3 linked regions of the Elephas maximus indicus genome follow. The protein of the gene in region 2 purifies or fractionates together with the protein of the main gene of each other region. This does not show direct contact. Links are inferred from orthologs where the notes say so. Each region holds a gene or a part of one and is shown on either strand. Other genes may lie near its edges. The genes, in order: EVI5, RAB11A and WDR44.

What was found.
Region 1: the proteins of RAB11A (region 2) and EVI5 purify together in Homo sapiens (co-immunoprecipitation; 3 studies listed by BioGRID and IntAct, with this or other methods). This does not show direct contact. The link is inferred for Elephas maximus indicus from reciprocal best matches to the Homo sapiens genes RAB11A and EVI5.
Region 3: the proteins of RAB11A (region 2) and WDR44 purify together in Homo sapiens (affinity purification with mass spectrometry; 3 studies listed by BioGRID and IntAct, counting the BioPlex papers as one, with this or other methods). This does not show direct contact. The link is inferred for Elephas maximus indicus from reciprocal best matches to the Homo sapiens genes RAB11A and WDR44.

The regions. Positions count from the first base shown.
Region 1 is NC_064821.1:149,454,120-149,465,347, reverse strand, and holds the start of EVI5 (ecotropic viral integration site 5 protein homolog), read right to left. Parts: upstream 4,649-11,228; 5' UTR 4,205-4,648; coding exon 4,163-4,204; intron 1-4,162. UniProt on the Homo sapiens protein: Functions as a regulator of cell cycle progression by stabilizing the FBXO5 protein and promoting cyclin-A accumulation during interphase. May play a role in cytokinesis.
Region 2 is NC_064831.1:55,953,664-55,964,661, reverse strand, and holds the start of RAB11A (ras-related protein Rab-11A), read right to left. Parts: upstream 5,218-10,998; 5' UTR 5,072-5,217; coding exon 5,032-5,071; intron 1-5,031. UniProt on the Homo sapiens protein: The small GTPases Rab are key regulators of intracellular membrane trafficking, from the formation of transport vesicles to their fusion with membranes.
Region 3 is NC_064846.1:38,682,626-38,692,981, forward strand, and holds the start of WDR44 (WD repeat-containing protein 44), read right to left. Parts: upstream 5,093-10,356; 5' UTR 4,663-5,092; coding exon 4,586-4,662; intron 1-4,585. UniProt on the Homo sapiens protein: Downstream effector for Rab11 which regulates Rab11 intracellular membrane trafficking functions such as endocytic recycling, intracellular ciliogenesis and protein export.

The sequences.
Region 1 (11,228 bases), on a different chromosome or scaffold from region 2:
TATGAGTGGGAATCAACTCGATGGCAATGGATTTGGTATACATGTCAAAACTTACTGAACTATACACTTCAGATTTGTACATTTTGCTGTATGCAGCCACAACTACATTTTAAAAATACTGCTACCTGGGTCCTAAGCCAGAGATTCTGATGTACTTGGTCAAGGGAGTAGCATGGAAATTTTTTAAAGTTCCCTGTGTGATTCCAGCATGCAGTCAAGGCTTAGAACCACTGCCTTAGAGTCCAGAGTAAAACTCCTAATCAATAAGCCCCATCTACAAGCTCAGGGACTTCCAATCAGCTTCTAACTGCCCACTCTTAATCATGAGCCCACAACCAAGGATTCCCAGACCTCTGAGGAGGGCTTCTACTGCTAATAGACGGACCAACCCAAACAGAGAAAAAAAGTAACTTGGAAAAACAAGCTATGCAGGGAAAAAAAAGCTTAAAGAAACGATCATTAACATCTTCAGAAAGATAAGATATGGAACCCATGAAACAAGAAAAAAGATGGAGAAATAAGTGACTGAGTTGGGGAGAGGAAGTTGGAACCTACAGGGTGGCTGAAGAGAATATGCTCAGAGAGCAAGCTGATTTGCCTCACTCACAGAACCCCAGAGAGGCTCAGGACTTAGAGCTTCCAGGTATATCACCAGTGGGGGAGAGGATGGTGCTGAAGAGAAGGGAAGTAGTTTAAAGTCTGTATAATGTACAGTTAGGCCCTCCAGGTTCCGTTCCCCACCACCATTCCCACAATTTCATAAATTTATTCTTTGGAAATACTGACCTAGAGTGACTCTAGACTCAAGAAGAGTAGAATGGAGTGAGGCCCAAGGCTGAAAGCCAAGGATTAAGCACAAGTGTGTAGTGTGAACAGTAAAGCCCACCACCACAGCCCTCTTTCTTTGCCTCGTATTCAGAACACTGAAAGCCAGACATACACTCTTTGATTTAGTTACCCCCTTCGTGTGCCCTGGTGGTATAGAGTTCGGCTGCTAACCTAAAGGTCGGCAGTTCAAATCCACCAGCTGCTCCTTGGAAACCCTATGGGACAGTTTTACCCTGTCCTATAGGGTCGCTATGAGTCGTGACTGACTCGAGGGCAACAGGTTTTTTTGGGTGTGCCGCCAGATCAATTTCCATCACAGCACTTCCCCCAGTGGAAGACAGTGGTCTTTTCTTGAATTCCTACTATCACTCTCTCTCAGACTTTAAGCTCTTTAAGGGCAGGGGCAGCATTTTACTAGCTTTGTACTCTCAGACCCTAACATAGTAACTGTCAATATACTAAATCTTTAGTTCATGATAGACACTGAAGATACCATGCAAAAAAAATACCATGTAAAATTTAGTTGGAAAACTAGAATATACAAGGTGGAACTTAGACTAGGTCTTAAATGGAAACTTTGAATTCAGTGATGAAATAATGTCTGGGATTTGTTTTACATAAATCCAGAGGGGCCACCCGCAAGGGAAAAATATCAGTTGTGTGTCTATATGCTAGCCACAAACGTTTTAAAAAATCATTTACAATCACATCAAGAAACATTAAATACCTAGAAATAAATAAGAAAAGATATGCAAAACTTCTACACAGAAAATTACAAGACATCACTAAGAGAAATTTTCTAAAACCTAAATGGAGGGATATACCATGTTCATAAATTGGAAGATTTAATATTGTTAAGATGTTAATTCTTCCAAATTGATCTATAAATCCAATGCGATCCCAATTTCCAAAATTTGTGGAAACTGACAAGCTGATGCTGAAATTTCTATGGAAATGCTAAGAGCCAAGAACAGCCAAGATTATCTCAAAGAACAGAGCTGGAGGGCTTATACTACGACTTATTAAGGCTTATTATAAAGCTACATTAATTAATACAGTAATACTAGCGCCAGAATAACAAATAGACCAGTGGAGCAGAACAGGGTGTCCAGAAACAGAATGACACTTATACAGTCTGATTTATGAAAAAGTGCCACAGAACAGAGGGGCAAGGATATTTTCAGTAAATGGTGCTGGATCAAATAGATATCCATATGGCAAAAAGTGAATCTTGACCCCTACCATCTATCTGGAATTTATTGTAAACTGGACACCCTAAAAGTGAAAAGTAAAACAATCAAACTTTTACAAGGTAACACAGGAAAATATCGTCATTTCTTAGGCTAAGTGCAGATTTCTTAGGAAACAAAATGTAGTAACCATAAAGGAAAAGATTAATAAAGAACATTTCATTAAAAGTAAGAACTTCCATTCATTAAAACAGTGAAACGGCAAGATACAGAGTGGAAAAAGATAAATGCTGTGTGTGTGTGTGTAAATACACACACAGATATACACCCACACCCTAAACAATCTGCTTCTGAAAAGTCAGCATGAATGCCACAGTGCTGTTCTGCTCTGTACCACACAGAATCACCATGAGTTGGAATCAACACAAAGGCTACTGGTTTATATATATCCAGAAAGAACACATATCCCTAATAAAAAATTACAAATCAATAAAAAAAAGAATACCAAGGAAAACTGGGCAAAGACTAAACAGACACTTCACATGAAGTCATATAAATGGCCAGTAAAAGATACCCAACCTCAATCATCAGGAAAAAAACACAAAATAAAATCACAGTGATATATTACTGTACCTCATAGTGATGTATTACTGCACCTCTACCAGAATAGTAAAAAATTTTACACTGACAAGCACCAGCAATGATGTAGGGCAACTGGGTTATTATTCCCTGCTACTTGGTACAACCACTTAGGGAAAATGTTCAATAGCATGAATACTGAAGTTTGATCATTCACATACCTTGTTGTTAGGTGCGATGGAATTGGCTTTCGACTCACAGCAACCCTTTGTGACAGCACAGAAGAGCCCCACAGAGTTTTCTAGTTTGTAGTCTTTATGAGGGAGCCCTGGTGGCACAGTGGCTAAGATCTCAGGCTGCTATCCAAAAGGCTGGCAGTTCGAATCTACCAGTCCATCCTTGGAAACTCTCTGAGGCAGCTCTACTCTGTCCTATAGGGTCGCTATGAGTCGGAATCGACTGGACGACAAAGAGTTTGTTCATTCGTTTGTTTTTTCGAATCCTTATGGGAGCAGATCACCAGGTCTTTCTCACTGGAAATGCTGGTTGGAACTGAACCACCAACCTTTCCCATTTGCGCCACCAGCATGTCTAACACCAGCGATTCCACTCCTCCACACAATATCTGAAAGAGTCCTGGTGGTGCAGTGGTTAGGCGCTTGGCTGCTAACGGAATGGTCAGACCCACTAGCCATTCTGAGGGAGAAAGGTGTGGCAGTCCACTTTTGTAAAGATTACAGTCTTGGAAACTCTATGGGGCAGTTCTACTCTGTCCTATAGGGTCACTATGAGTCAAACTTGACTGGAAGGCAACAGGAATACAGTATATACTCTTGGAGTCCTTCGGTGGTGCAAACAATTATCGCTCTGGGCTGCTAACCAAAAGGTTGGAGACTGAGTCCATCCACAGCTGCCTCGAAATATAAGTCCTGGCAATCTACTTCCAAAAAATCAGCCATTGAAAATCCTATGCACAAAGTCCTACTCTGATACATATGGGGTTGCCAGGAGTCAGAACAGACAGAATGGCAACTGGGTTTGATTTGTGCAGTGGTTCATTTCATAAAAATTCATTATCTGCACACTTAAAATTGTGCACTTTTTCTGTGCACCTCAATAAACTTTCTAAGATTCCTCTGACACAAAGTTCTCAGAGATCTAGGAAAAAGCTTCTGGTAAACTGATAAAATTTTACAAATATAATTAAAGAACAAAAATGCCACTAATACATACCAGCCCACAATCAAAGTAAAAACTACCAAGAGATAATTTTTCTTGAACTTCATGAAGCACTGGAATTCCTTCTTACAGCAAAGAAAGGAGTTTATTATTCCACATTGTAAGCGAAAGAAGAGATATCTTTGCAAGAAAATGCGGCTGCTTTTCGAAAACATCCCCAATAGCGACAGACAGGAGAAAAGTGAGGGAACCATTCCAAAAGTTTTGGTTAACTCTTTGGTGAAAGGATACTACCTGAGATGGTAGGAGACGTCCAAAAGACAGAAAAAAACACAAAAATGTTACAGCAACTCTAGAGCCAACACCAACACCACAATCCAACCTACCGGAAATCCTGTGGTTAATTTGAGGCTTGCCCCGCTAGTCATAAGGTGATTCAGTGATGGCTACAAACCCTCCCCAAGTGCATCCTTGGAGTCACCTGGCACACCTGGAATGCCCATCACCTGTCTGTAGACACCGCCATACGCAAAATCCAAGGAGGCTATATAGAGTCTCCAACTTTGCAGGTAAGGGGCGCAGATGGTATCATCCCCTCAAGGCCACCCAGAGAGAACCCACTTCTGGCCTCGAGGGCTGGGGTGCAGGGCCCCGAAGCTGCCCCGTCCCTCCGCCTCTGGGACTCTACAGAAAAACCCGCCGGTGGTGAGTTTCTTCCCCGGCGCCCGCGGAAGGAGGATCCCGACAAGCGGCAGGCAAGGAGGCGAGCGCAGGGAACTTAGGCCCCGGCGGGGTCTGGCACGCCTGCCCGCTCACTCGGCAAGTTTGGCGGCAGCCCCTTCCCACTGCGCCTGGGCCCCGCCGTGCGCCCCCGCGGGGCCCGGGCTTGCGGCCCGCCCGGCCTGGCGCAGCGCCGCTCACCTTGGAGACGTTGGGTGAACTCCGCTGTAAACATTAACTTCCCATCCAGCCGGCAGCCGCGCCACCGTCGCGCGTCCCAGCGCCTCGGCCCGGCTCCTGGATCCGTGGGCCGCCGTCTCACGCGTGCTGCACTAACTCACGAACTCGGGGCCTCCGCCGACCCCCACCACCCCTCAGAATGCCGCCGCTGGCTCAACCACTGTCCGGCCCTTCGCCCGTCCGCCTGCCGGGTTCTCCAGGGTCCGGCCTGGCCGCGTCAGGAAAACCCAAGGCGCAGGCGCGGCAGGGCCTTAAAGAGACCCGGCCGCCTCTACCGCATAATAGATTCGTGCAGGTTAGGGGCCGGGCTGGCCGGCCAAGAAAAGGAGAAGCCGAAGGGATTGGACGGAGCGAAGCGGGGGCGGGGAAATCCTTCCCTCTCCGTTTTTCTTGCAAAGCACCAGCCCTCAGTCCTGCAAATTGCGACTTCCCAAGTCATTTGAACCGCCCCTTCCATGTTAAAGCTGCGGAAGGCGCACCCCCTCAGAGCGCAATCCCACCCGGCGCTTAGGGCTGCGGAGCGCGCACTGCCGCACCGCCCACGCTCCTGTTTCCTGGGCTGCGGGCGAGGGGCGCAGATGCTCAGGCTTCAAAAGGCCGTCCTGGGCTCAATAACAATAATCAACGTGTAAGTGGCACTTGTGATTGCAAAGCGTTCCACCCTCACTAGTCTCTTCACACAGGGTCTATGCAGAGTCCGGCAGGGGGTAGAGCCTGGGCATAAATAAATGACGTCCACTGGGCCGCCATCCAACATCCACGAAGAAATTCTTAGAAGGAAAGTACTTAACTTTGGAACGGAAACAATCTGCTAATTCTCGTCCTATCCCATTGCATATGCAAGAGTCATTACCGATATCTCCCTGGTTATCTGTAATAAGCATTTCAGTAGAGGAAAAAAAACTCCATTTTTTTTCAACGAGGTTAGGAAACACCAAAACATAGGAAGTAAAGTAATGGCCTCCACCCAGCTCAGAACTTTAAAAATTCGCAATTTTATGAGGCAAATTTTTCCATATAAACTAAGAGACGTCCTTGATGTCAACAAATCCTGCTGACTCTACCTCCCAATTTTTCCCTTGAGCCCGCCCTCTTCTCTCCATCTATCTGCTCCACCACCACTCCAGTTAAGCTACTAGTCCGGAGCTGCAGATCTAGTCTTCTAATTGGTTTCTCCACGTCCCCTCTAACCCCTTGCCTTGGAGTCGATTCAGATTCATAGCGACCCTGTAGGACAGAGTAGAACTGCCCCATAGAGTTTCAAGGAGCAGCTGGTGGGCTCGAACTGCAGGCTTTGAGTTAGCAGTCAAGCTCTTAAGCCTCTGCACCACCAGGGCTCCACATCCCCCTCTAGCCCCTCTCTGATCTCTTCTCCACACAACAACCACAATGACTTTTTCACATCTTCCTTCTAGTTTGAACCCCTGCTGAGAATTTGCATTTCTACCAAGTTCCCAGAAGATGCTAATACTGCTGGTTAGGGACCAATCTGAGAACCACTAGTAGAGCGGTGGGTCTCAGTCTTAATTATACATAAGAATCACCTGGGGGTTTTATTAAACTGTAAATTCTGATTCAGTATATTTGGGGTAGAAATGCAAATTCTCATCCTTACCCATTCAAAGCCCTGCTTTTTCAAAAACAAATACGCTACATAAACCACTTCAATAGCTTTCCATTCTCTTGGACAAAACCCCTTAACTAACCAACTTTGCATGATCAGGACCTTGCCTGCCCTCTACTTCTGCTACCACTCAGATCTTACTGTTTCTGCTTTCTGCTCCAGCCAGGCTATCCTCTTCCAATCTCTCCTACTTACCAGCTTCCTTCCTCCACAGAGTCTTTGCACATGCTTTGCTGTGCCAGGAAAACTCTCCCAACCCTCATCCTCTGGTCTCAGCTCAGGTCTCCACCGTAGAGAAACACCCTATGACTTGCCTACCTTGGCCCCATCCCTGAACCGAATTGCACTGAAAGTGTAATTGTATGATTATTTGCATGATTTTTTTTTTTTTACTCCTCCACTGGACTATTAATTCCATGAGGCCAGGAGCTTGCTTTGTTTTGTTCAAGGTTGTATTTCCATATTTGTTCAATATATATATTTGTCCAGAAAATAAATGAGAGTCATAGAATGCTAAAACTTGAACTAGACATGGCTTTAAAGGTTACAGAAGTTACAGAAAGCTGAAATGTGACATTTGGAATCAGAGTCTAAAATAACCCCAGTTATCTTAAAACTGATTCTATATTGTTTTAGCTGGGCTGTCACAAGATTCTTTGGAGAACCTTTTAAAATCTGAGTCCCTAAAGCACCTTATATAAACCCCTATAATAATTAATAATGACAGCTACAGGATAAACCCACAAGACAACTAATAGAATTGGTTTCTTCAAGGGAGGAGGACCGGGTGACTGGTGGAAATGGGTGGAAAGGAAACTTTTTACTGCATGCCTTTTTGTACCTTTTCAATTTCAAGCCCTGTGAATGTATTTTCTAGTCTAAAATGACACAAAAGAGTATATGATTCCATTTATTAGAAATTCTAGAAAAGGCAAAATTGATCTATGGTGAAAAAACTGGTCGCTTCTGGCAAGAGATTGTCTAGGAAGGGACATAAATTTTCTGGTTGATAAAAATATCTTGAGAGGGGTGTGAGTTACACAGGTGTATTATTTTATCAAAAATGTATAGGTAACATTTAGGCATTGTAATGAAGGTAAGTTTTTCCTTAAAAACTGTATAAAAATAAACAAAATTTAAGAAAATAATAATAGCTAAAACATAGTTGAGCACTCACTGTGTACAAGTATTGGCTAATTACTTTACATACATCATCTATTTTAATCTTCATATTATTCCCATGAGGCAGATATTATTATCATAACCTCCTTGCATATGAGGAAACTGAGACTTAACAAATACTAAGTAGCTTGCCCCCCTGTATATACAATTGGAAAGTGGTGGAGCAGAGCTTTGAACCCAGTCTCATGCCCAAAGTGGTAAACACGAGGCCCTATGTCCCCTCTCCGGAATTGTAATTTTTTGGCTTATATATTATTTCCTACCCACTAAATCAAGAGTTTCACAACGATAGAAACCATATTTTGTCGTAGGCTTCTCAGTAGCCCCAGCACTTTGCAGGATAGCTGCTCAATGTATTTTGAAGGAACGACAAGGAAAAAGCCTGGGGTTGATTTTATTGGTGCAGATTACATAGGGTTGCTATGAGTCGGAATCGACTCAATAGCAATGGGATTTTTTGTGTGTAATAGGCATACATACATATATTAATCACTATGTGACCAAGGTTTCCTGTATATACATACATATATATATATACATAGCTCTTAATCACTACGTGACCAAGGTTTCCTGTATATACATACATATATATATATATACACATATATGTATGTATATACAGGAAACCTTGGTCACATAGTGATTAAGAGCACATATATGTATGTATATACAGGAAACCTTGGTCACATAGTGATTAAGAGCTATGGCTGCTAACCAAAAGGTCGGCAGTTCGAATCCACCAGGTGCTCCTTGGAAACCCTATGGGGAGTTCTACTCTGTCCTATAGGGTCACTATGAGTCAGAATTGACTCGACGGCAATGGGTTTGGTTTTGGGGTTTTTTTATATATATAAATATATGTATGTGTCTATATATATATGTATACACATACCTATACATACGTATATGTGTATATATACAATCAGTACTGCTGTGCTAAGTGCCTAAGTTGAGTTATCTCAAATCATGTCACAGACCTGAGGAGAGAAGCTGGTACCCATTACCCCTATCCCCAGTTTACCCCATTCCTTCACTCACCCTGAGCACATTAATTTCGTTGGTGGAAGAGCTTACACTTTATCTTTTCACTGAATAGCTGATTCTAACCAGAGATCTGACTTGCCCTCCTTCCAAGCCTCTCACAAGTGCTTAAGCACTTGCGTAAGTGAAATTCCATGCTGTGAATTTCACACGAGCACCACTCCTGCTCCAGCTCTCCCCTACTCTGCCATTCACTCTGGAACCTCACAGGAGGGACAGAAGAGGGAGGAAGCACAAGGGCAGTGGGCAGTGACACCCTCCTCAGATAGAGCTTTATGTGCAGTAAATTCAGTTACCAACTCAAAGCTTTCTATTTTTTGATGCTGCACACTCTTAGTGTTGATTTGTGTCACTGTCAGGGAGGGAAACAAAAGGAGGGTCCAGTTCCATCCCCTCTAAACCTGGCAAGGGTTAAATCCCAGACTGTCATACTCTCAACTGCTAAACGTGTTTAAACCAGCCATGTGAGTGAGCCCCATTGCTCACAGAAAGGAAAAGCAGAGGCATTTCCCTGAGAGGCAAAAAACAACCCGAGATACAGAAGGCAGGGTGTTGTTCATCAGTGAGTTTGACTCACCAGTGTAGTCAAACCCACTGGTGAACAACATCCCGTCCTCACCCTGGACAACCGGTATTTGGCTTCCTTAGAGAACCGCTTGTCTCAGCTACATCTTAGGACTGTGTTGTACAATACAGCAGCCCACTTAGCCACATATGGTTATTAACGTTTAAACTTACATTAATTTAGATTAAACTAAAAATTCAGTTCCTCAGTCACACTAGCACATTCCAAGTTCTCAAAAATAGCCATATGTGGCTAGTGGCTACTGTCTTGGACAACACACATGTAGGATGTGTCCATCCATCAGAAAGTTTTATTGGCAGTACTATTCTTGAAAAAACAAGAAACAATACTCCACGCACCTCTCAGCTAATATTCAAGAACTTTTTGCTTTGGAAAAATGAAGGCTCACAATGAAATCGTTAACAGCCTATCTCATTAGGTGCATTGCTTTCCACAATGTACTAATCCAAAAGGCACTCAAACTATGGCCTCCATTCATTGGAGTTGTAAGGATGGTTTTAACCTCACTACCTCCACCACGTTCCATTGCTTGCAAGACACTGACACTATCTTAGGAAGAATACTGTTGAGAAGCACACATTTCTATTTCCATCTCTTGGCACTTGTGCACAACTAGAAACTGGATCTGCCATGGTTGTGGTAAAGAACAAACTTTCTGAATCTAGAGCTTGGACATCAGTTCTGTATGTGGTGGTAGACATTCAAAACATCAACCCAACAACAGCATTTGAAACTGCACAACTGAAATGGAAGATCAGTAGAGACATTTTTGAGAAATGATTTTATTCAAGTGCCGATTTCCATCCTACCCACCAAAAGAAGTCCATTCATTTCTTAACTTTCTGAAATATTTGTTTTAAAGCAAGATAAAATTCGGTGGAATTACAGTAGTAATTCCGCTAAAACTTTCCATTTTCTCGGAACTAGTAACCTCTGCACTAATGCAAGTGACTAGACTATGACCAGAAACTTCAAGTATGGATGCCAAAAGTGTACTTAACCTCTTTGAACCCCAGTCTTCTCATCCATAAACTGGAGATAATATCTATTTAAGCATTAAAGTGAGAATTAAGTGAAATAATATGTGCAAGGTACGTAAGTATTCAACACATGATCCAAAACCCTGTGCCGTCAAGTCGATTCTGACTCATAGCAACCCTATAGGACATGGTAGAACTGCCCCATAGAGTTTCCAAGGAGCACCTGGTGGATTTGAACTGCCTGCCGACCCTTTAGTTAGCAGCTGTAGCACTTAACCACTACACCACCAGGGTTTCCCAACACATGGTAGCCATTATAATTGTTATTATCCATTCCCACAAAACACCACCATGCAAAAATAAGTAAATAAAAGACTCTAAAATTAGAAAAATTCTGACTCCACCACCTCCTAATTGTCTGACAATTGACCTCTCTAAACTTTCGCTTCTTTATCAAGTTAATAAGGATTAAGAAGAGTTCCCAACAATAGATGTGTTATTTCATGTGAAGATGTTCTGATAACAGTAAAGCCAAAAAAAAACCAAGCTAGTGTAAAAAAAAATAATAATAATTTTTTTTTTTTAGTGTTAATTAGCACTCTGCTCCCACCTCCAGCAAAAAAAAAAGATGAGGGAACTACGTTTGAGAGAATCATGCTTCACAGTAAAATTTATTTAGCATTTGTTATAAACTGTGCCCCTAATACAACTGGGAAGCAACAAACTGCTGAAGCCATCACTGAAGACCACACTGCCACCAAACAAAATTTGTGAACAAATACTCTGGCTCCCAGTCGCTTTCCTTAGCTAATCTTTATTCTCCAGATGAGAAATTTGAAGCCCATGCAGCCCACAGCAGGCCTTCTCTGGGAATGATAACCAGCAGTCAGTTACAGCAAGGAGAGAAATGGTGTTGAATTACAAAAAGCCAATTACTAAAATACCTTTTTTACAGGTGTGGAATTAAACCTAACGCTTCATAAAGCCTTGTTCATCACATGAGTGGTCACAATATAACAAGATAACATTCTTAAAATAAAACTCAAGTCATTTTAAAAAGCTGTTTCTGTGTTTTGAAG
Region 2 (10,998 bases):
TCAAAACATGCAGAGTTACATTTAGGATCACTAAAATAAACAAACAGATTAAATTAAACAACATAGGAGAGTTTACTGGCTGTGATCAAAAAAAAAAAAAAAAAAAAAACCCTCCGGAGACTCACCCTTCACCCAAAGATTAGACAGGCCCATAAAACAACAGGAGACTAAAGGGGCACAAGAGCCCAGGGGCAAGGACTAGAAGGCAGGACGGGACAGGAAAGCTGGTAATAGGGAACCCAAAGTTGAGAAGGGGGACTGTTGACATGTCGTGGGGTTGTTAACCAATTTTATAAAACAACATGTTCACTAACTGTTTAATGAGAAACTAGTTTGTTCTGTAAACCTTCATCTATTAAAAAAAATTTTAAAAAAAAACCAACTTCATGTACTTTTCTCCATCGACTCAAATTTGAATAATTTCTAATCAAAATAGTTTCTCTCATTTAGATGACATTTAATTGTTTTAAAAATGTGATAAACCATATAATCACATCCACACTTCAAGAAAGGAATTTGCAATGACTTTCCTGTTTAGAAAGAAGCCCTGATGGTGCAGTGGTTAATGGCACATGGCTGCTAAACACCAGCAATTTGAACCCACAAGCTGCTCCAAGGAGAAGGATGTGGCAGTCTGCTTCTGTAAAGATTTACAATCTTTGAAATGCTACAGGCAGTTCTACTCTGTCTTACAGGGTTGCTAAGAGTCAGAATTGACTAGATAGCAGTGGGTTTGGTTTGAGTTTCTATTTAGAAGTCCCTGGATAGTGAAACAGTTAGTGTACTCAGCTGATAACCAAAAGGTTGAAGGTTGGAGTCTGCCTCGGAAGGAAGGCCTGGCAATCTACTTCCCAAAAAATCAGCCACTGAAAACCCTACGGAGCACAATTCTACTCTAACACACAAGGGGTTACCATGGATCAGAGTCAACTCAATGGCAACTGGCTGGTTCCTATGTATTCCACAACTAGTATCTTAGGTTAAAAGTACTTCCTCTTTAAACATTTTATAACTATAGCCATCTATGTGGTATTTATATACTAAATAATATAACCAAATTAAACAATAGCATCTAGAGATTAAACATCTATAACCAAAACAAAACTAAATAACATTTCTAAAATAACCTGACAGTATTTATCACCTTTGGTTAACCTCATCTGATGAATTTTAAGTATCATCTCTAAAACCCAATATTAAATTTTGCTCATAATCTATGTCAAACATCAGGCTGCTAAATGCCATAAAAGCAAAATATACATATAAATTTTCATTATTTAACATAAATTCCTATCTCTACCACCACATTTAGTTTTATACTCTCTCCTGCTAATTTACTCATCTGAAATTCAATTTGATGTATCAGTCAGTGTATCTGACCTAAAAGTTACAACCTGACAAAGTCACTAATCATTTTCATACTACTATTCATAAATGAACATGGAGATGCTTCTACTCTTTCAACTATATTCACAGTCCAACCTCACCAAAAGCATCTTTAAAATAAAATGCATTCAATAAGGCCAAAGTCCAGACGAGTTTTTCCAGATTCGGCAGAATTCAAGTTGCTCAACCAAAAGTTGTGAAAGAAAAACTACCAAGATGCAAGACAGCGAAGTTCCTAGGAGCCTCTCTACCAACAAGATGCAAGACAGACAAGATGCAAGACAGCGAAGTTCCTAGGAGCCTTTCTACCAACAAGATGCAAGACAGCGAAGTTCCTAGGAGCCTTTCTACTGACAATCAGCTGATGGTTAATTACCACTGACCTTCGGTGAAACTGAAAAGAAATTGCTGGAAGCAATAGACTGTATATCCAGATATTTTTAGAAAAGGTGATTTCAATTAGACTGGTGTCTATCACATTTATTTATAAACAGGGGCTATGATTGATGCTTACCTCACTTATGGGTCCCATATGGCTTAACACATTGTGTGTAAATACTTGTACAATTTTTATTTAAAAAAAAATATACAGTTTTAAAAAAATAAAACTAATTTGCCCCCATCAAAAGTCTCACTGTTCAAATTAACTAAAGATTAAAGTTCAAGAACAAATTCATCATTTAGAATAATTGTCCTGCTCTCCCCACATCGAATTCCCATTTGGGAATTCTAATCACATCCTATCCTAATCACAAAATCCCTTCATTTTCATCAGTTACAGTTACAAACTATCTCCCAACTCTCTCACTGTTTAGTTTGCTAGGTAAGCCTTCTAACAGACATACAGCTTCTCTGTAGAATAAAACCATTTAAAAATGAAATTATTCTTCCTTCCCTTTAAAATATCATTACTATACTGATTAATAAATATAATCATTACATAAAATATTTTTTAAATATGATTTATAAAAGAATATGGCTAAATAATAAGCATTGAAGTTTTAAAAAACTGATTCACATCTTGTAAAAACTTTAAAAAAGTGAAAATCCTCATCACCACGTTTTTTAAAACACTATTTTAAAACAGCAGAATGTGCAACGAAATGAAATCTTAACATAAAATATAACATAGAAACAAAATACTTTAGAAGCTCCAAGTTTTGAGTTTCTTTACTAATATTTAAATGCTCACATATTTATAACGATTTAAGGTTTAAAAAACTGACAAGAACTTCTTCATTATTATCATTTATCGAAACCTCACAGAAGCTAAAATTTCAGTCTCATTTAATCCTTACAATAGAGTGGTCCTATCTCCTTTTTACAGGTGAGGAAACTGAGGTTCAGGAAGGTTAACTCTCCAAGGTCACAAAGCAAACATACGACCTGAGCCAGGATTTGAATCAAGGTCTGTGCAATTCCAAAGCCCTCAATCATTGTTAGACAGGTGGTCTAATTGCAAAATTATTTTGATATCAAAAGTTTAAATTCCTTAACAGACTGGAAGGGCTGACTCATTAGGGGCAGAGTAAGTGGGAGTATGGAGTAAGGTGTATATAAGCTTATATGTGACAGACTGACTTGATTTGTAAACGTTCACTTAAAGCTCAGTAAAAATTATTAAAAAAAAACTAAAGATTTCCTTTAAAAAAAAGTTTAAATTCCTTAAACCAATTCAGGACAATTAAAATTATTAATTTAAAAAGTTAATGGATTTCTATGCCCATCATTCAAGTTACAGACCAAACAGGAGAAATGCTCTGGACAGTCTGTCTTATTCTAAATTAATTACTTCAAAGGTAGCTAGCTGCCCTCTGCCACTGTGCCTTATTTAAGAAAACAAACCTTTATGACTTTAATGATTAAACCCCCCAAAGTCTCTAGGGACTCACAAAGTAATTTCACATCTCCCCAGATGCCTTCAGCAAGCAGTACATAAAGGAACCTAGGTTTCCCCTTTATATTTGTAAAATGCATTAAGGACCCTCTTCTCTGAAAATGCGTTTCCAGCATGGGGGCGAGGGTGGATACCGAAGGTTGGAACCCCACTATTATACTCCTCTGGGCCATATTTTGGCCCAGAGGAGTAAGTGATGACAAGGGTAGCTAGTATAATAAGATTTGCGAAGTATTGGTGAAGCAAAGAAATTTTTCCTGCCTCCTTTAGTCAGTCATTCCTAGCACCCAATGGCAAAGTCAGAAACACTGCCTAACACTCCGTTTAAACTCCACCCTCCACTGTGAAGCTTTAATAGCAATGGCTTCTTCCTCCCCAGTAATGATCTTTGTTCAGCACATTACTGACGCCTGCCCTCCTAATTCAGAAGCAGAGAAAGCGCATCGGCGTGAGAGAACATTCACTAAACAAAAAAGCATTTACTGTACTATTTTCTCATTGAAAAGTGTATCCTTCATCCTTGATGATTTAAAAAAAAAAAAGCTATTTGGATTCTTTCCGGACTAATAAGCAATTCTTTGTATCCATTTCCCCCACTCTCCAAAATGTTTTGTCCAAGGGCACTACATGTTTCTCTACCTTATAATAAATATTTAATATGACCCAAAAAGCATGCAACCTCCCCTCCCCTTACCCACCACCTTTTGGAAAAGGTATGGAGCCAACTAGGGCTCTTTCCTTCCTGTTCTAAAAACACCAAAAGATTGGATCCTCCCAGCGTTGCAGCAGGAAGCAACCAGACCATAGTGATAAAGCTCGCTAGTATTTGTGCAGCGCACAACCTTTCCTGCTCAGGAACTGGGCCTTCAGGTCTGGCAAGGATAACAGCCACCACCCATCCGCAGCCCCTTCTCACGAGTTATCCCAGGCTGGATGCCGCTGGGAAGGGCCGGCAGGAGGGGGAAGTCCTATCCGTGTGCCGGGTCATTGCGACAAGCGCGCGCCTGGGTGACACAATTCCCCTGGCCCCCCGCCCGCCCCCCGGGGTCGCACCAGAGACGTGGAAGGGAGGGATGGTGGAGGAGAAGCTGCCAGTCCGCGGGGCGGCCCGGGAGGTTACTGACCGCGAGAATAGCAGGGGCAGCGGTGGGGTGCGGGTGGAGGCCACTGACCCGCTCAGATTTTACCAGGGCTTGGCCGGGGGAGGGGGGGGCGAGGGAAGCCGGCTAGGAGGGGCGTCCGGCCGGCTCCGGGCTAAAGAGAAGCAGAGGAGACCTGGAGTGGGAGTCCCCGGGCCGAAGGACAGCCGAAAAGGGAAGCCAAGGGCCTGCCGGAGGGGCTCCCGGAGGGGCTGTGCGCGGAGACCGCTGTACCCTGAGGGGGAGGAGGCGCAAAGGCAGAAAAGGGAGATGGCACGAGGGGCCCTTCGAAGGGGCCTGGGCGCCCCGGGGAAGGAAGGAGGAAAACCCTCCGGGAGAAGGGAGAAGGCAGTCGCCGGGAGGACGCCCAGGGAGGGGTTCCGGGGCTAGCGGGGGCCTACGGGAGGTCGCTAAGATGGGTGTGTGGTGGGGACCCCTTGTGTGAGGGGAGCGAGGCTGGGCTGGGAGACGGCAGGACGAACGGCACAGAGAGGAAGGGCTGAGGCAGGCCCATGTCGGCACAGGGGTGGCCCGCGCGCGGGTCCCCCGGGAGTGTCCCGGGCCCCCGAGGGGGGACTCGGTAGAGAGTGAGAAAGCCCACAGTCTCACCTTTGAAGAGGTAGTCGTACTCGTCGTCGCGGGTGCCCATTGCGCGGCCGAGGAGCGAAGGGGCGGGAGCAGCAGCGGTATCGGTCGGTAGGACCAGGGGGCGTCGCTGCAGGGGTAACCCGAGCGCCGAGCTTCAGATGCCGGACCCGGTAAAGAGCCCCGCCCTGCCGCTGCGCCACTTCCGGCAGGCCCCAGCCCCTCAGGGGAAGTACTTCCGGGGAGGCGGTGCCCCGCCTCCAAGCCCAGAAACGTGGTACGCGGCCAGGGTCGCGACAGCCTTCCGTTTCTTAGTCCTTCAAGGAAGCTCAAATAGGAAAACGAGTCCTGGATGCCCAGCTGATCACGCCGTTAATGGCCTCTCGTTCATTCCATACGCACCTCGCACTGCCTTGCCGGAACCGGCGCTGGGAGCGCATCAGACCCGCCTCCGAATAGTGGGTTTGTGGATGGGGGCGGGGTTTTCTAAGGTTTAGACAGCTGAAGGCGGCTGCATAAGTGTGGCGGTTCCATGGTGTAATGGTTAGCACTCTGGACTCTGAATCCAGCGATCCGAGTTCAAATCTCGGTGGAACCTGCAACGGCTAATTTTTTTCTGATCACAATTATAGTTCGTTTATTCACTAAGTCGTTGTTGTACAACTGCGCTAGGTCTGGCGTTGAACTAAATAGAATGAGAATTTCGCAAAACACAATCTTTGCCTCTGGAGACCTCACAGATTATCCCTTTCAGTTCCATACTATCTGCCACCTCTACATGAGGATCTTGTGAGGAAGGAGCTTCTTCACTTAGCCTCTTTAGCCTCAAACCCTAATTCAAAAGCTTCTTCAGTGAAATTCCTTTTGCTGGAATTTTCTATCTCCAGCTCCATTAAAGAACAGGCAGGCTCTTCTATTCGCTCCTCTCTGGAAATCTCTCAAACTATCTCCAGATGTCACTCAGAGGACTTGGCCCACCCTCCTCATCAAGATTCATCCAGAACTTTGTGAGCCTTTACTATTTGTCAGCCTCTAACTTAAAGTAAGCCCGTTTTCACAATCATTTAACAGGAAGAGCAAAGGACAGCAATTTCCATTTTAGTGGCTTACTTTCCATTTTAGTGAATAGTAAGACTGAAGTGATTTGCCAAGGATCACAGCAGGCCTCCTTATATTTGAGAGTTTTGTAATTCCACAGAGCTCTTTCCCATTTATTGTAACATGCCGTACATACTGCCTATATACAAACTCTCAATTTAGACTTTTGGGGAAGGGTACTTGTAGGCAGAAACAATGGCCCTCCAAAAAAGTCCATGCCCTAAATCCGTGGAAACTGAATATGTTAGGTTACATGGCAAAGAAGAATTAAAGTTGCTAATCAGCTGACCTAAAATAGATGGATTATTCTGGATTAACCATGTGCACCCAGCGTAGTCATAAGAGTCCTTAAAAGTGGAAGAGAGAGGCAGAAGAGGTGAAAGCGATGTAATGTAAGAAGGATGGACCAGCCTTTGCTGGCTTTGAAGGTGAAGGAAGGAAGGGGGCCATGAGCCTAGGGATGAAGAGGCCTCTAGAAGCAAGGAAACGGATTCTCCCCTAAAGCCCCAAATGGAACACAGTGTGTTGACACCTTGATTTTAGCCCAGTGAGACCCATGTCAAACTTCTGACCTACGGAACCATAGATAATAAATTTGTATTGTTTTATGCTACCTAGTTGTGATCATTTCTTATGGCAGCAATATGAAACTAATGCAGTGCCATTGTCAGTGCTTTCTCTGCCAGTATAAAGTGATAGAAGGTTTATCTAAGGTCCTAGGTACTGCCTTGTGCACGGAGTGAACACTATCCACATTAGGGGAGAGGCAGGATGTTACACAAACAATCAAGTATTTACGGGATACCTATTACATGCTACTACAGATTATTCTTAAGTCACAGTCCCAGCCCTACTCAGGGATCAGACAAGATGGGCCCAAGAAAGAGGGAATATCAATAACTAAACAGTTCAGTAGGAATAACTAGTGAGAGTTCTTGTGATAAGTGCCAAAGTTCAGAGAGACTGATATAATTAGGGAGAACGCCCTGGAGGAGGTGGAACTTGCTCCATCCTCTAAAGGAAAACTCTAGGAAGGAAACTCATTTCGGGAAGCAGGAGAAATTAGATGGTAAGAATATGTTGAGCAAGGTGTTGATGCCAGAAGACTTTTGAACTTTTCCCCATAAGTCATTTTTTACAATGCGTGTTTTGAGGTCAATAGTCTTCCTAAAAAGAAGGATTGGCAGATAAGTAGAGCATTACTGAAGAGGAAGAACAAAGTGGGAGGCCTCACACTATCTGATTTTAGAACCTATTACACCACCACAGTAGTCAAAACAGCCTGGTACTGGTACAACAACAGATACATAGACCAATGGAATGGAATTGAGAATCCAAACATAAATTCATCCACCTATGAGCAGCTGGTTTTTAACAAAGGCCCAAAGTCTGTTAAATGGGGGGAAAAAGTCTGTAACAAATGGTGCTGGCATAACTGGATATTCATCTGCAAAAAAATGAAACAAGACCCGTACTTCACACCATGCACAAAAATTAACTCAAAATGGATCAAAGACCTAAATATAAAATCTAAAACGATAAAGATCGTGAAGAAAAAATAGGAACAATGCTAGGAGCCCTAATACATAGCATAAACAGAATACAAAATATAACTAACAATGCATAAATACCAGAAGAGAAACCAGATAACCGGGAGCTCCTAAAAAAGAAGCACTTTTACTCATCAAAAGACTTTGCCAAAAGAGTAAAAAGACAACATACAGACTGGGAAAAAATTTTTTGGCTACGACATACCCACTCAAGGTCTAATCTCTAAAATCTACAAGATACTGCAAAGCCTCAACACCAAAAAACCCATTGCTGTTGAGTTGATTCCGACTCATAGCGACGGGATATGACAGAGTAGAACTGCCCCGTAGGGATTCCAGGCAGCACCTGGTGGATTCCAACTGCCAACCCTTTGGTTAGCAGTCAAGGTCTTGACCACTACACCACCAGGGTTTCCTCGACAACAGAAAAAAAAACCCAATTAAAAAATGGGCAAAGGATATGAACAGACACTTCACCAAAGAAGACATTCAGGCAACTTGTATGAGGGTAGAGAGGCTGGGCTGGGAGACGACAGGAGGAAATGGTCATGATCAGAAATGCAAATCAAAGCTACAGTGAGATACCATCTCACCCCAAAATGGCTAGCACTAATCCAAAAAACACAAAATAATAAATGTTGGAGAGGTTGTGAAGAGACTGGAACACTTACACACTGCTTGTGGGAATGTAAAATGGTACAATCACTTTGGAAATCAATTTGGCTTGTCCTTAAAAAGCTAGAAATAGAAGTACCATATGATCCAGAAATCCCACTCCTTGGAATATATCCTCGAGAAATAAGAGCTGTCACATGAATAGATACATGTACACCCATGTTCATTGCAGCAGTGTTCATAATAGCAAAAAGATGGAAACAACCTAGGTGGCCATCAACAGACAAATGGATAAGCAAATTGTGGTATATACACACAATGGAATACTATGCGACACAATGGAATACTATGCAATGATAAAGATCAATGATGAATCCGCAGGTTGATCACTGATCTTTATCATTGCATAGTGTTCCACTGTGTTCATAATATTCATTCTCACAACATGGATGAATCTGGAAGGCATTATGCTGAGTGAAATTAGTCACAAAAGAACAAATATTGTACGAGACCACTACTAAGAACTCAAGAAAGGGTTTAAACACAGAAGAAAACTTTTTTTGATGGTTACGAGGGAGAGGAGGGAGGGAGGGAAAGGGAAATTCACTAACTAGATAGTAGACAATTATCTTAGGTGAAGGGAAGAACAACACACAATAGAGGGGAAGTCAGCACAACTGGACTAAACCAAAAGCTAAGAAGTTTCCGGAACACAACCAAACACTTTGAGGGACAGAGTAGCAGGGGCTGTAGTCTGGGGACCATGGTTTCAGGGGACATCTAGGTCAATTGGCATAACAAAGTTTATTAAGAAAATGTTCTGCATCCCACTTTGGTGAGTGGCATCTAGGGGTCTTAAAAGCCTAGTGAGCAGCCACCTAAGATGCATCAATTGGTCCCAACCCACTTGGGACAAAGGAAAATGAAGAACATCAAAGACACAAGGAAAATATCAGCCCAAGAGACAAAAGGGCAACATAAACCAGAGACTCCACCAGCCCGAGACCAGAAGAACTAGATGGTGCCTGGCTACCACCAATGACTACCCTGACGGGAAACACAACAGAGAGTCCCTGATGGAGCAGGCGAAAAGTGTGATGCAGAACTCAAATTCACATAGAAAGACCAGACTTAATGATCTGACTGAGATTGAAGGAACCCTCGAAACCATGGCCCCCAGACACTCTGTTAACCCAGAACTAAAACCATTCACTCTTCAGACAAAGATTAGACTGGACTATAAAGCATAAAATAATACTCATGAAGAGTGTGCTTCTTAGTTCAAGCAGATACATGAGACCAACAGGGCAGCACCTGTCCGAAGGCAGGATGAGAAGGAAGAAAGGGACAGCAGCTGGTTGGACGGACACGGGAAACCCGGGGTGGAAAGGAGGAGTGTGCTGTCACATTATAGGGATTGCAACTAGTGCCACATAACAATATGTGTATAAATTTTTGTATGAGAAATTAACTTGAGCTATAAACTTTCATCTAAAGCACACACACACACACACACACACACACACAAAGAAAGAAACCAGAGACAGGACCCCGATTCCTGCCCCAGGGATTACAACCCAGGCTCAGACCAGGCTTTTTTCCAAAAATGTTTTTAATTCCAACATCCGTCTTAATGGCATACTACTGCATACTAATTTATCCAGTAGTTGTTGTTATACTGAAAATGAAAGCTAATGATTTCAGCTACAAACAACTAAGCCAATACTATAAAAATATATTGTAAGACACTGAGAAAAAGAAGGGTTGCATGGTCAAACGCATTGAGAAAAGCTACACATTGTCTCTCTCCTTAGGAACTCCCTTAGTGCAGTGACAATTTAAAGTCTCTAGAAATTCTGCTCTGATGAAATCTTTTTTTTTTTTTTACCTGTATTGAACACAGCATTTACCAGATTCACGAGATCACAGAACTCTCTTCCCATGTGACACCTGTTAGCGTGCCTCTGAACACTTTGGTAGATGCTCTGACATGGAGTCATCATTAAAGATTTGTGAACAGAGGGGTAACTGAGTAATACTGGATTTGTGTCTTAGGGAAAGCCTAAGACGGCTATGGACTGATATATTTTCCTGCACACAAAACTTTTTTAATCAATATAATGCTGTAACTACGATAAAAAGCAGAAATAGGAAAATAATTTGTTATAAAATGACACAGATTTCATATGTTAATGCTTGGGCACAAGGATAATAGAAGACATGATAAAGTAGTCAGATGCTTGCACCTAATAGCAGAATCATCATTCATTCAAAAAATATATATTGAGTACCTACTATGTGTTGGACACTGTCCTACGTTTACTGCCTCACGGAGCTTACATTCTAGCAGAATAGCGGGAGGTAGACACCAAACCATCAACATAATACGTAAGTAAATTGCAAATTACATTACAAAAAGAAAACTCAACCTATTGCCATCAGTTCCGACTCATAACAACCCTACAGGACAAAGTAGAACTGCCCCATAAGGTTTCAAAGGAACAGCAGGTGGATTCAAACTGCTACTTTTTGGTTAGCATCTGGGCTTTTAACCACTGTGCCACCATGGCTCCGCGTGTTACTTTAGAAGGTGGTTAAGTATTATGGAAAAAAAAAAGAATGTGGAACAGGAGTAAGGGAAAACTACAGTGCAGAGCAATAGGAAGGTAGGTAGCAGGTTGCAGTTTTAAAATAGAGTGGTCAGGGTAGGCTTCACTGAGAAAGTAAC
Region 3 (10,356 bases), on a different chromosome or scaffold from region 2:
AAAAAAAGATAAAAAAAAATCAAGACACATACTTTTGCTACCACTCCAATCTAAATGTGGTAGGTGGCGGTTGACACTACTCAAGTTCTAAAATTAACATAGTGTAGCACAGCATAACAACAACATAAGATTACCCACTGTTCCTACATCAACTATCCTGCCACTTTTTTCCATCATGACTTGGGGAAAACTAAAGGGCAAAAGTTAGGGTCCTTTAACAGCCGACGTCCTCTGATTGCAAGGTATGAAGAAACAAACACATTAGATAGGAGTAGACCATCTTAGGAGCCCAGCAAACAGGGAAGTGCCAGGAACTTATATCAGGAATATCAACTAATACTTCCCCTCTATCCACAGACATAGCAACATATTATAAATGAGGAATCAGAAGACTTGGGTTCTAGTTTCGAATCTGCCACCAATCAGCAATGTGTCACTTCCCCTCTCTGAGGGTAGGTTTCTCTATCAGAGAATTGGAAGGGCTAGGCTAAACGATCTCTCATCCCTTCCAACTCTAAAAAAATTATGATTCCATCCTTTTTTCAAGGCCTCAAAAAACATTTGGCTGACACTAAAAAAAAAAAAAAAATACATAAAATGTCACATTTATTTGTGCATGCATTAAAAAAAAAAAAAAACCAAACCCATTGCTGTCAAGTGGACTATGACTCATAGCGACCCTACATATATTAAAAAAAAACACAAAAACCCAGTGCCGTCGAGTCGATTCCGACTCATATACATATATATATAATGTAGGAATTGACTCGATGGCACTGGGTATATATAACTGGTTTTGATTGGATTTGCTTTAGCTTAAAACCAAGATTCCATTAAAGGGTATATAAACTTAGGAAACCCTGGTGGCGTAGTGGTTAAAAAGGTCAGCAATTCGAATCCACCAGGCGCTCCTTGGAAACTCTATGGAGCAGTTCTACTCTGTCCTATAGGGTCGCTACGAGTTGGATGTGTATATATAACCCATACTAATTAGCAGGGGCATTCATCTCATACATCATTTACTCAATAAATACTTACCATAATTTCAAATCTATGGCTCTTGACCATGTATCAAAAGTCATTAAGTTTGTTAAATTAAAAGGTAAAATAAAATGCTGGCAAGATTTCTCAAGAACTTAAAGCTTATCAATAAAAGCATATTCTTAAACCTCAATTCAACAGAGTTGGAAGGGCTCTCAGAGTGTAATCTTTCAATTTAAAGAGAAGGAAATGAAATGACTCACAGTCCAGGCCTCTTTTCTACTATACCACAGTTCTTCCTCCTCCCCTTCCCGCACTATCAAAAGATAGCACCTTAACAGAAAACATCTGATTATGAAACTGATCTGGGTTCTAGTCCTGGCTCTGCCATTTATTTGTTGTGGCACCTTGGCCAAGTCATTTCCCCTCTCTGGGCTTGAGTTTTTCACATCATTTGCTATGAAGGGGTTTATCCCTCACGTCCCTTCTAGTGTTAACAAGCTATGATCTTGTAAAACTCCTATCTAATAACACAAAAATACATAATTGCTGAAAGAAAAAGAGGGGATTTCCAGCCAAGAGAACTAAAAAGTTCTAGCTGCTGGTTTTAAATAAATAAGTTCAACTCTGCAGGATGGTACTAAAGCATTTTACTCCAGAATATCTTGGGGAAGGACCCCTCCTTCCCCCTACCCCTCCCCTCGTGTTGGGTAGCTATGATGTACTAGGACAAAATACTGAACTAGGAGTCTGAAGAGATGGTTTCAAATCCCAGCTCTGCCACTTACAAGCTGTGTCTTCTAGGACAACTCATTCAACCTCTCTGAGCCTAAGGTTCCCCATATGAAAAAATAAAAATAAGGAAACTCGAAGTTTAGAGATCAAACAAAATAAAACATTATAAATGTGGTATATACTGCAAAGCTGGGAAAGTGGAGACGATCTACTACTGAGGAAAACCACGCTGTACTGGAATTGAAAACCTTTCTACCAAAAAATTAGGCTAATTTTTAACTTATTAAATTTGCTTTAAAAAAGTAGAATACCAAAGCAGAAGACACCATTGGAGCAGAAATGCAAGAAACAAATCAATTTTAAGAAATGGATTGTGTATTTAGATTCTGCTGGTTAATAAAACATGAAATAACTCTCAACTGCCTACTCGGTTTAGTGAGATTTGGTGAAATGGTCTTTGTATTCCTGAACACACAATAGCAAGCAACATTTCTTAAAGTGCCCAAATTCAGTCTATTAACCTCTTGGAGTTTGTCTAATGTGACAATCCAGTTCATACCAAGGAATAGGAGGTATTTCTGATGACCACATATCTGGTGACACCATCTGTTTCCACTAAATCAACATTTCTCACTGCATTTCCAGGTGGTTCTTAGTTGCCCAGGCAAGTCTCATTACCATAAAAAAAAAAACCAAAAAACTACCCATACCTTATGCAAATAACAAAACCAGAGGAAAGGGATGTAGGAAAATGTAAATGAAGCCAACCTTTTTCTTTCTTCCCAGCACTGCTAATTCTTTTCACATGCAATTCCCTAGATGAGCTTAATTGTCTTCTAAATTCCCTCGGAAACTCTATGGGGCAGTCCTACTGTCCTATAGGAGGATCACTATGAGTCGGAATCGACTCGACCGCACTGGGGTTTTTGGGGAAGACAACATGAAGCCGTGAAATCCACAAACTGACACTGTAGTTTTTATCCGTAGAGCTCAACATACTCAGTATTTGGGCAGGTTAGAATTAAAATTAGAAAGCCGGGTCCCAACACACTTTACTTTTCACCCAGCATCAAAGGATCCAAGTCCTTGAGAACTTGTATTATCCCACTGGGGAAGAAGTGACTATCAATTCTATCAAAATGACTCATCCAGTTTAGATAAATTAAATAGCTCCAAGTTCTGGATACTTACAAAGTAAGCACTGTGTGAAGTTAATAAATTTGCTAATTCCAAGAAAGGAAGGAGAAAGGAATGTTGGAGTACTCTCTTTGTGCCAGGCACTGGACTAGGCAATTCACACAGCTCCGGATGTAATTGTCATTCAAAATTAAACTTATTTTACTCAACGTAAAGGAACAATATCTATGTTGCTCTAAACTGATTACAACAAGTAAACTGTTGTTTCCTCCTCTCCCTCCATCTCACATACATACACACAAAAGTCAATCATTTAACCTGAATTAACAGTTCATTACTTTTGAGAGTTTTGGAAACCACAAAAACAAAATTTAATTTGAAGGCAGCAACACTGAAACCAAATGTATTTTCTATCCTCTACCATCTCGCCATGAACTTGTCTGATGTTGAACCTGAAGGAGATTCAGTGTCATCTCAAGGGTGGCGAAAGTGATCTCAAAATCACCCAAAAATCCAACATAATATGAAGGTTGGTGGCTACACACACATCTGTAATCTACCAATGCACATTTATGACCGCTTTGATAATTTTTCTTGGTCTAGATTATGTCACATACATTAGATTTTAGAACCTACTTCTAGAATGTAGGGACAACTTTATTTGCATCAAACAGGGTCTTTTCTTCCGCAAGGAAGCAGGAGAATTGAAGGCAGGTGAACTCCTGGAACCATATTAGTGCCTTACGTTAAAATACAAATTTTTCCAATTCTCAAGCTCTTACAGCATGAAAATATATTTCATTGCCTCTAGTACCACACAAGTCCATATAAAAGTTCAGCGAAATCGCTTTCAACATTATTTCAACTTTGAAAAGTGAAAGAGTGGGTTACCAGAAATCCTAGTCAAGCGAAGCATTCCAACTACTGTACTTCCTACTCAGGGTCTCTCATGTTAATCAAAAGTAAACTAAAACATCTTGCAGAATTAGATAAAGAGCACAAAGCTGTGGCTCTCCTACCAACCACCAGATTACTCAGCACTTGTTTGTTTGTCTGTAGTCGGTTGTGTACATTTTCCGGCTACCCATATAGACCGCATTCTTCCTAACGATAAGGACCTTGTCTTCGATTTCCTTTGCCTCACGGTAAGGTACTATTTTAATAACACACTGCTGATCTAGAGTACATCAGCTGGAGGACTTTACTAAGTAAATACCCAACCTTTCCTCCACTCCTTTTCTTCCTCTGCAAGGAAAAGAGGACAGCAAATAGGGGAGAGTTACAGCTACCTCTGAAACGAATAGGTAAGTCAGCCGTAAAAGGAAGGAAAAAAAAAAAATGTGAAGCGCAATTACTCCTGCTACTGCCCCTTTAATCTATGGTCTCCGAGGCCAAAACGGACGTTTGAAAGGTAAACCCCAAACCCTGCAAATACAAATCGCTGGCTCTCAAGCACGTCAGCTGTCTCACCTCGCAAAAAGCAGGGCAAGCCAAGAAAAGGGCTCCGAGTGAGCCCCTGGGGCCGTTCATCAGGGAGAGGAGGGAGGGCGCGGTTACTCAGGTGGGTAACTCCCCCTCCCCTGCATCACCCTCCCTAAGGAGCCCCACGTCTGAGGTCTGAAGTGCCGGAGTGTGATTGTGGGAAGCAGCGGGACCTGAGAGAGATATGAGGCACAGAAGCAGCCAGGAAACGGGGATGCTCGGCTTCTGAGCCGTAACTCCAATCACTTACGTTAAGGGGTAGCCGCCCCCTAGGTGCACATCTTCAGGGGCATCGTAGAATTCCTCGGTGTCGCTCTCCGACGCCATTTATAGGACACACCCGCGGGTGAGGGGGCCGGCGCCGCCTGAAGAGAGGGTGACTCTCGTCTCCTCCTTGCCGTCCTCCACCCCGGCGAGACTGGGGAGGTGGGTCCCGGGCAAGGATGAGAAGGGAGCAGAAAATCTGGAGTGAAGAGTCGGTTAGGGACAGAGGGCCGCCCTCAGCTGCCGGGCTGCGGGAATGACCCGGAGAGCGTCCGCCTGAGGAGGCGGCGGTGGTCCGGGGACTACTGCTGCCGCCGCCGCCGCCGCCGCTCCTGGCGCTAGGTGTACAAGGAGAACGAAAGAAGAGGCGGTGGCTCTTCTCCGTGGGGGAGGGCGGGCGCGCCGGCGACAGCAGCTCCAATTTCTCCCGCAGCCGCAATTACAGCAGCTGGGAGAGCTGGTTGTCCGCAAAACACCGACGCGCACCTACCATCGCGAGATTTCGGGAGGTGGACGGTAAGGCGTGGGCGTGGCGAAGAGGAGGCGGGGGCAGTTCTGAGAGGCAACGCTCGGATTACTTTTGCCCCAGAAGCCTATCAAAACGGCCCAAGCGCGTTGAGGGCGTTCGGAGGGGCCGGAAGTAGCCCGGAAGGGAGGTGGTGAGCCTCAATAAGGGAGGAGTCTAGAACTTGCGCAGGAGCAACGTGGTGCCCGGGTTCTGAGGGCGTGTGCACCGATGTTGGTAGGGCTTTGCGGAGTTGCTTTACGTACTTACTCAGCAGTTCCAAAGGGAGGCATTTCAAGAGGGATGATTTTGAGTCTGTTTTTAAAATTTCTCTTATATATGAGGAAATGTTGTCGTGGCCTTTTTGGTTTGCATTTACATTGTCTTAATTCAAGCCCGGAAGATCCCACCTTGGGGCGTAGGCAGGGCCACCACCTCTTGCGTTACGTGAATATCTCGCTGGAAACCCTGGTGGTGTAGTGGTTAAGTCGGCAGTTTGAATCCACCAGGCGCTTCTTGGGAACTCTATGGGGCAGTTCTGCTCTGTCCTATAGGGTCTCTATGAGTCGGAACGGACTCGACGGCAACGAGTTTTGGTGGTATCTACTACAAGATCTCTAACTGAGATCCCTAGATACAGTCCTGCCGGCCAGAGGATAAGATTCATGAGAGACACGCGAGGAGTGTGCCCGTTCCACGGAGTTAGGATGAGTTTATTGCTGGAGCTGGGCCAGTATAGGAAACCCTGGTAGCATAGTGGTTGAGAACTATGGCTGCTAACCAAAAGGTTAGCGGTTCGGATCCACCAGGCACTCCTTGGGAACCGTATGGGGCATTTCTTCCCTGTCCTGTAGGGTCGCTATGAGTCTGACTCGACGGCAACGGGTTTGGCCAGTATAAGGCCTCCAGTTACTTTTTTTTCTACAAATATCTGTCGCTGCCCACACTTAATGTGAGAGAAATTTTTACATACGCCCAAGATGTGGGTCAGTCAAATGGTAACTAATGTACTGAGCAGAAAACAGTTGCAAGGCTAACACCTAGTTAACTTAATTGTGCTCCTCCACTGACCAATGTCCAGTGATGAAAATAAAAAGGTACTTTTTAAAAGACCAAGATGTTCTTTCTTAAACGGGGCATTGACTTTCAAAATGATTACATTAACTTTCCTTATGATCGTGAAGCACAATTATTTCTCCCACTGACATCACGGCTGTCAGCCACTTTGAGCGATTTGCGCAGCCTCAGCTGTTACTCAAAATGGCGGCAGAAAAGATGAGTGGGGCCAGGGACATGGGTTGGCATTTAATTATAGATTGTATTTGATTGCTGTTGGTTTTGTGGATTGATAGAAAAATATTTATAAATGCTGTTTTGTGACACCCATGTAACATAATGAACTGGGGGAAAAGCCTATGTGTTAACTAGTAAACTCAAGTTCTGAATTATTGACTTACAGAGATAAAATAGACTGTAGCAATATGGCAGTTACAGGACTCAATTTGAATCTGTACAAACTCCTGTAACTTGAAAAGTATTCTGTTTTTGTGATAACCTGCTTAATAAAATAGGCTAGATAAAAATTCGACGGCACTGGGTTTTTTGTTTTAGATAAAAATTGGATTTTTAAAAATGTTAAAAACTTAGGTAGTGCCCCGTATGTGATTTACTGTATATAAATATGTATGCAGCACACATAAACATGTATATACACATGCCTACAGATGCCCCTGTATACCCACACCCATATAATCACACATGCCTTCCTATACACATATATGCATATGTATCTACATATTTTTTTGGTTGTTATTGTCATTGCATAGACTATTTGTTTCAGTATTATATATGGCTACTTTTACAGCAGAGTTGAGTAGTTGAGACAGGGACTGTATGGCCTGCAAAACTTAGAATATATACTATCAGGCCTTTTACTCTGGACATGTTGTGTAATGGACTATTACGTAGCTGTGCGCTACTGTTCAAGACTCTGGAAGAAAGCTAACTGGAATTATCTTAAAAAAGGAAATTATTGGCTTGAATGATCAAATACAGTCAGCTGTGCTATAACACTTGTTCGTTCCACTGTGATTGGTATCAGAGAACAATTTGAGCATAACATGAATTTTGTGTTTGCTTAAGCGTGGTTTTGTCAGTAGGAAACACTAGGTGAAATCAGAAAATTGCATCCAACCGAACCAAACTTCATCAGAATACAAAAAAATGCACACACACGCACGTACAGACACTTGCCTCAAGCATCTACCAGCTGCCTCACTTCACCGTGTGTGTTATGTATTAGACCTATCCACATCTCTTGTTAACAATCTTTTGTCTAATTTCAGATAACCCTCCTTCCACTAACCCAAAACTCGTTGCCTTCGAGTTAGTTCTGACTCTTAAGACCCTATAGGACAGAGTAGAACTGCCCCATAGGGTTTCCAAGGCTGTAATCTTTAAGGAAGCAGACTGCCACATCCTTCTCCTGTGGAGTGACTAGTGGGTTCGAACCTCAGACCTTTTGGTTGGCAGCCAAGTGCTTAGCCACTGTGCAAACAGGGCTTCTTCACAGTAACAAGTTATAACCCTTCTAACACCCACTTCCACAGGCAAACTTCAGGTCTTTTTCAAAGTAAAGTGCCATCTTTATTGTAGAATCTATGTATTTCTTAACCATTTTAACATTTGTAAGGAGTCCCTGGGTGGTACAAATGGTTAACGTACTCAACTGCTAACTGAAAGTTTGGAGCTTTGAGAGAGGTACCTTGGAAGAAATGCCTGGCAATCTGCTTCCGAAAAATTAGCCATTGAAAACCCTATAGAGCCAGTTCTACTCTGACACACATGGGGGTATGTCAGAATTGACTGCATGGCAACTGGCTCATCTGGTTAATGTGTAAAATTGTGCTACCATTTTTATTAGGTTCATTTTTTTTATGTGTCACTGACAAAGGTTTTTTTTCCTTCATTTTTTTACTGTGATAAAAATATATCTGATGTTTGCAAAGTCAACAAGTTTTATGTGTATAATATAGTTACATTGATAGTACATCATGTACATCCATTACCACTATCTTTTTCCGAATTATTCTACCACCATTAACAGAAACTCAGTGTCCCCTAAGCCATGACTCCCTTTCCCCGCTCCCTCCCACCCATGGTAACCACTAAGCTTTGGTCTCTATACATTTGTCTATTTCATATACATGGGATCATACAATATTTGTCCTTCCGTAACTGACTTATTTCACTCAGCATAATGTTCTCAGGGTTCATCCATGTTGTAGCATGTATCAGAACTTCATTTCTCTTAATGGCCAAGTAATAAACCATTGTATGTGTATGTCACATTTGGTTTATTCACTTATTTGTTGATGGACAGGTAGGTTGTTGCCACCTTTTGGCTATTGTGAATAGTACTGCAGTGAACATTGGCGTACAGGTTTCTGTTTGCGTTGATGCTTTCAAATCTTTTGGGTATATACCTAGGATTGGAATTGCGAGGTCATATGAACTGATAAGTTTTTGAATGTTCTTTCCCAACTCCATTTTCTGTCTAAGCCATTTTTTTTTTTTTGCCCAGTTTTACGTAATACAGGAATTCTTAGGATTGCATGTGTTGCCTTATAGCAGAATTGACTGTAATCCAGAAGCAGTAGCTTCAGGCATGGTTGTGTCCAGAGCCCAAGTGATGTCAATACTCCTTTGGTCCATCTCTCATCTTTGCTTATCTCTGCTTTTTTTCGTGCTTTGGCTTCAATTTTCCTACTCAGACAGCTTCCATCTTGTAGCCAGGGAAGATGCTGCAGACAATTTCAGTTATTACTATTGTTGCTAGGTGCCATCAAGTCAGTTTCGACTCATAGTGACCCTATGTACAACAGAACAAAACATCACCCAGTCCTGTGCCATCCTCAAAATAGTCGTTATGCTTGAGCCCATTGTTGCAGCCACCATGTCAACCTATCTCGTCATGGGTCTTCCGCTCTTTTGCTGACCCCCTACCTTACCAAACATGATGTCCTTCTCCAGGGACTGGTCCCTCCTGATAACATGCCCAAACTACATGAGGTAAAGTCTCGCTATCCTCGCTTCTAAGGAGCATTCTGGCTGTACTTCTTCCAAGACAGATTTGTTCATTTGTCTGACAGTCCATGGTATATTCAGTATTCTTCATCAACACCATAATTCAAAGGCATCAATTCTTTGGTCTTTCTTATTCATTGTCCAGCTTTTGCATGTATTTGAATAACAGTCGTATTAACTAGACTTCCTTGTAGGCCTATGGATACTATCCTATCCCTGACAGCATTGTACTTCAGGATAGATCTCGAAATGTTCTTTCTGATGATGAATGTGATGCCATTCCTCTTCAATTTGTCATTCCCGAAATAGTAGACCATATGATTGTCCAATTCTTAGTGGCCAGTACTGGTCCATTTCAGCTCACTAATGCCTAGGATATCAATGTTTATGTGTTCCATTTCATTTTTGACAATTTCTAATTTTCTTAGATTCATACTTCATACATTCCACATTCTCATTATTAATGGATGTTTGCAGCTGTTTCTTCTCATTTTAAGTCATGCCACATCAGTAAATGAAGGTCCCAAAAGCTTGACTCCATCCACATCATTAAGGTTGACTCTCCTTTGAGGAAGCAGCTCTTCCCCAGTCGTATTTTGAGTGCATTCCAACCTGAGGGGTTTCATCTTCTGGCACTATATCAGACAGTGTTTTGCTGCTATTCATAAGGTTTTCACTGGCCAATTTTTTTCAGAAGTAGACTGCCAGGTCCTTTTTCCTAGTTTATATTAATCTGGAAGCTCCATTGAAACCTGTGCACTAGGGGTGAACCTGCCGGTACTTGAGATACCGGTGGCATAGCCTCCAGCATCACAGCAACACGCAAGCCACTACAGTATGAGAAACTGACAGACGAGTGGTGGATTATTTTGTAAACAAGGGGAAATATTAAAAGAAAATATATAGCCAAGCATATACAATGTAGATATATATATAAACTTAAAGCCTGAAATTTATTTCTAACACAATACATGACTGTGAGACCTGGGCCTATTGCAGGCATCCCACTTTGCTTCCGGATCATTTTAATAAGTGCCACTGAGAAGATGAACTTGGAAAAATTACCTACAAAGCGAATCTTGGAATGTAATCAGTCGACTGGTTAAAAAGTCATATTTTCTACATTTCAAAGTCATCTTTTCTGGACTGCAGGCCTGAGACATAAA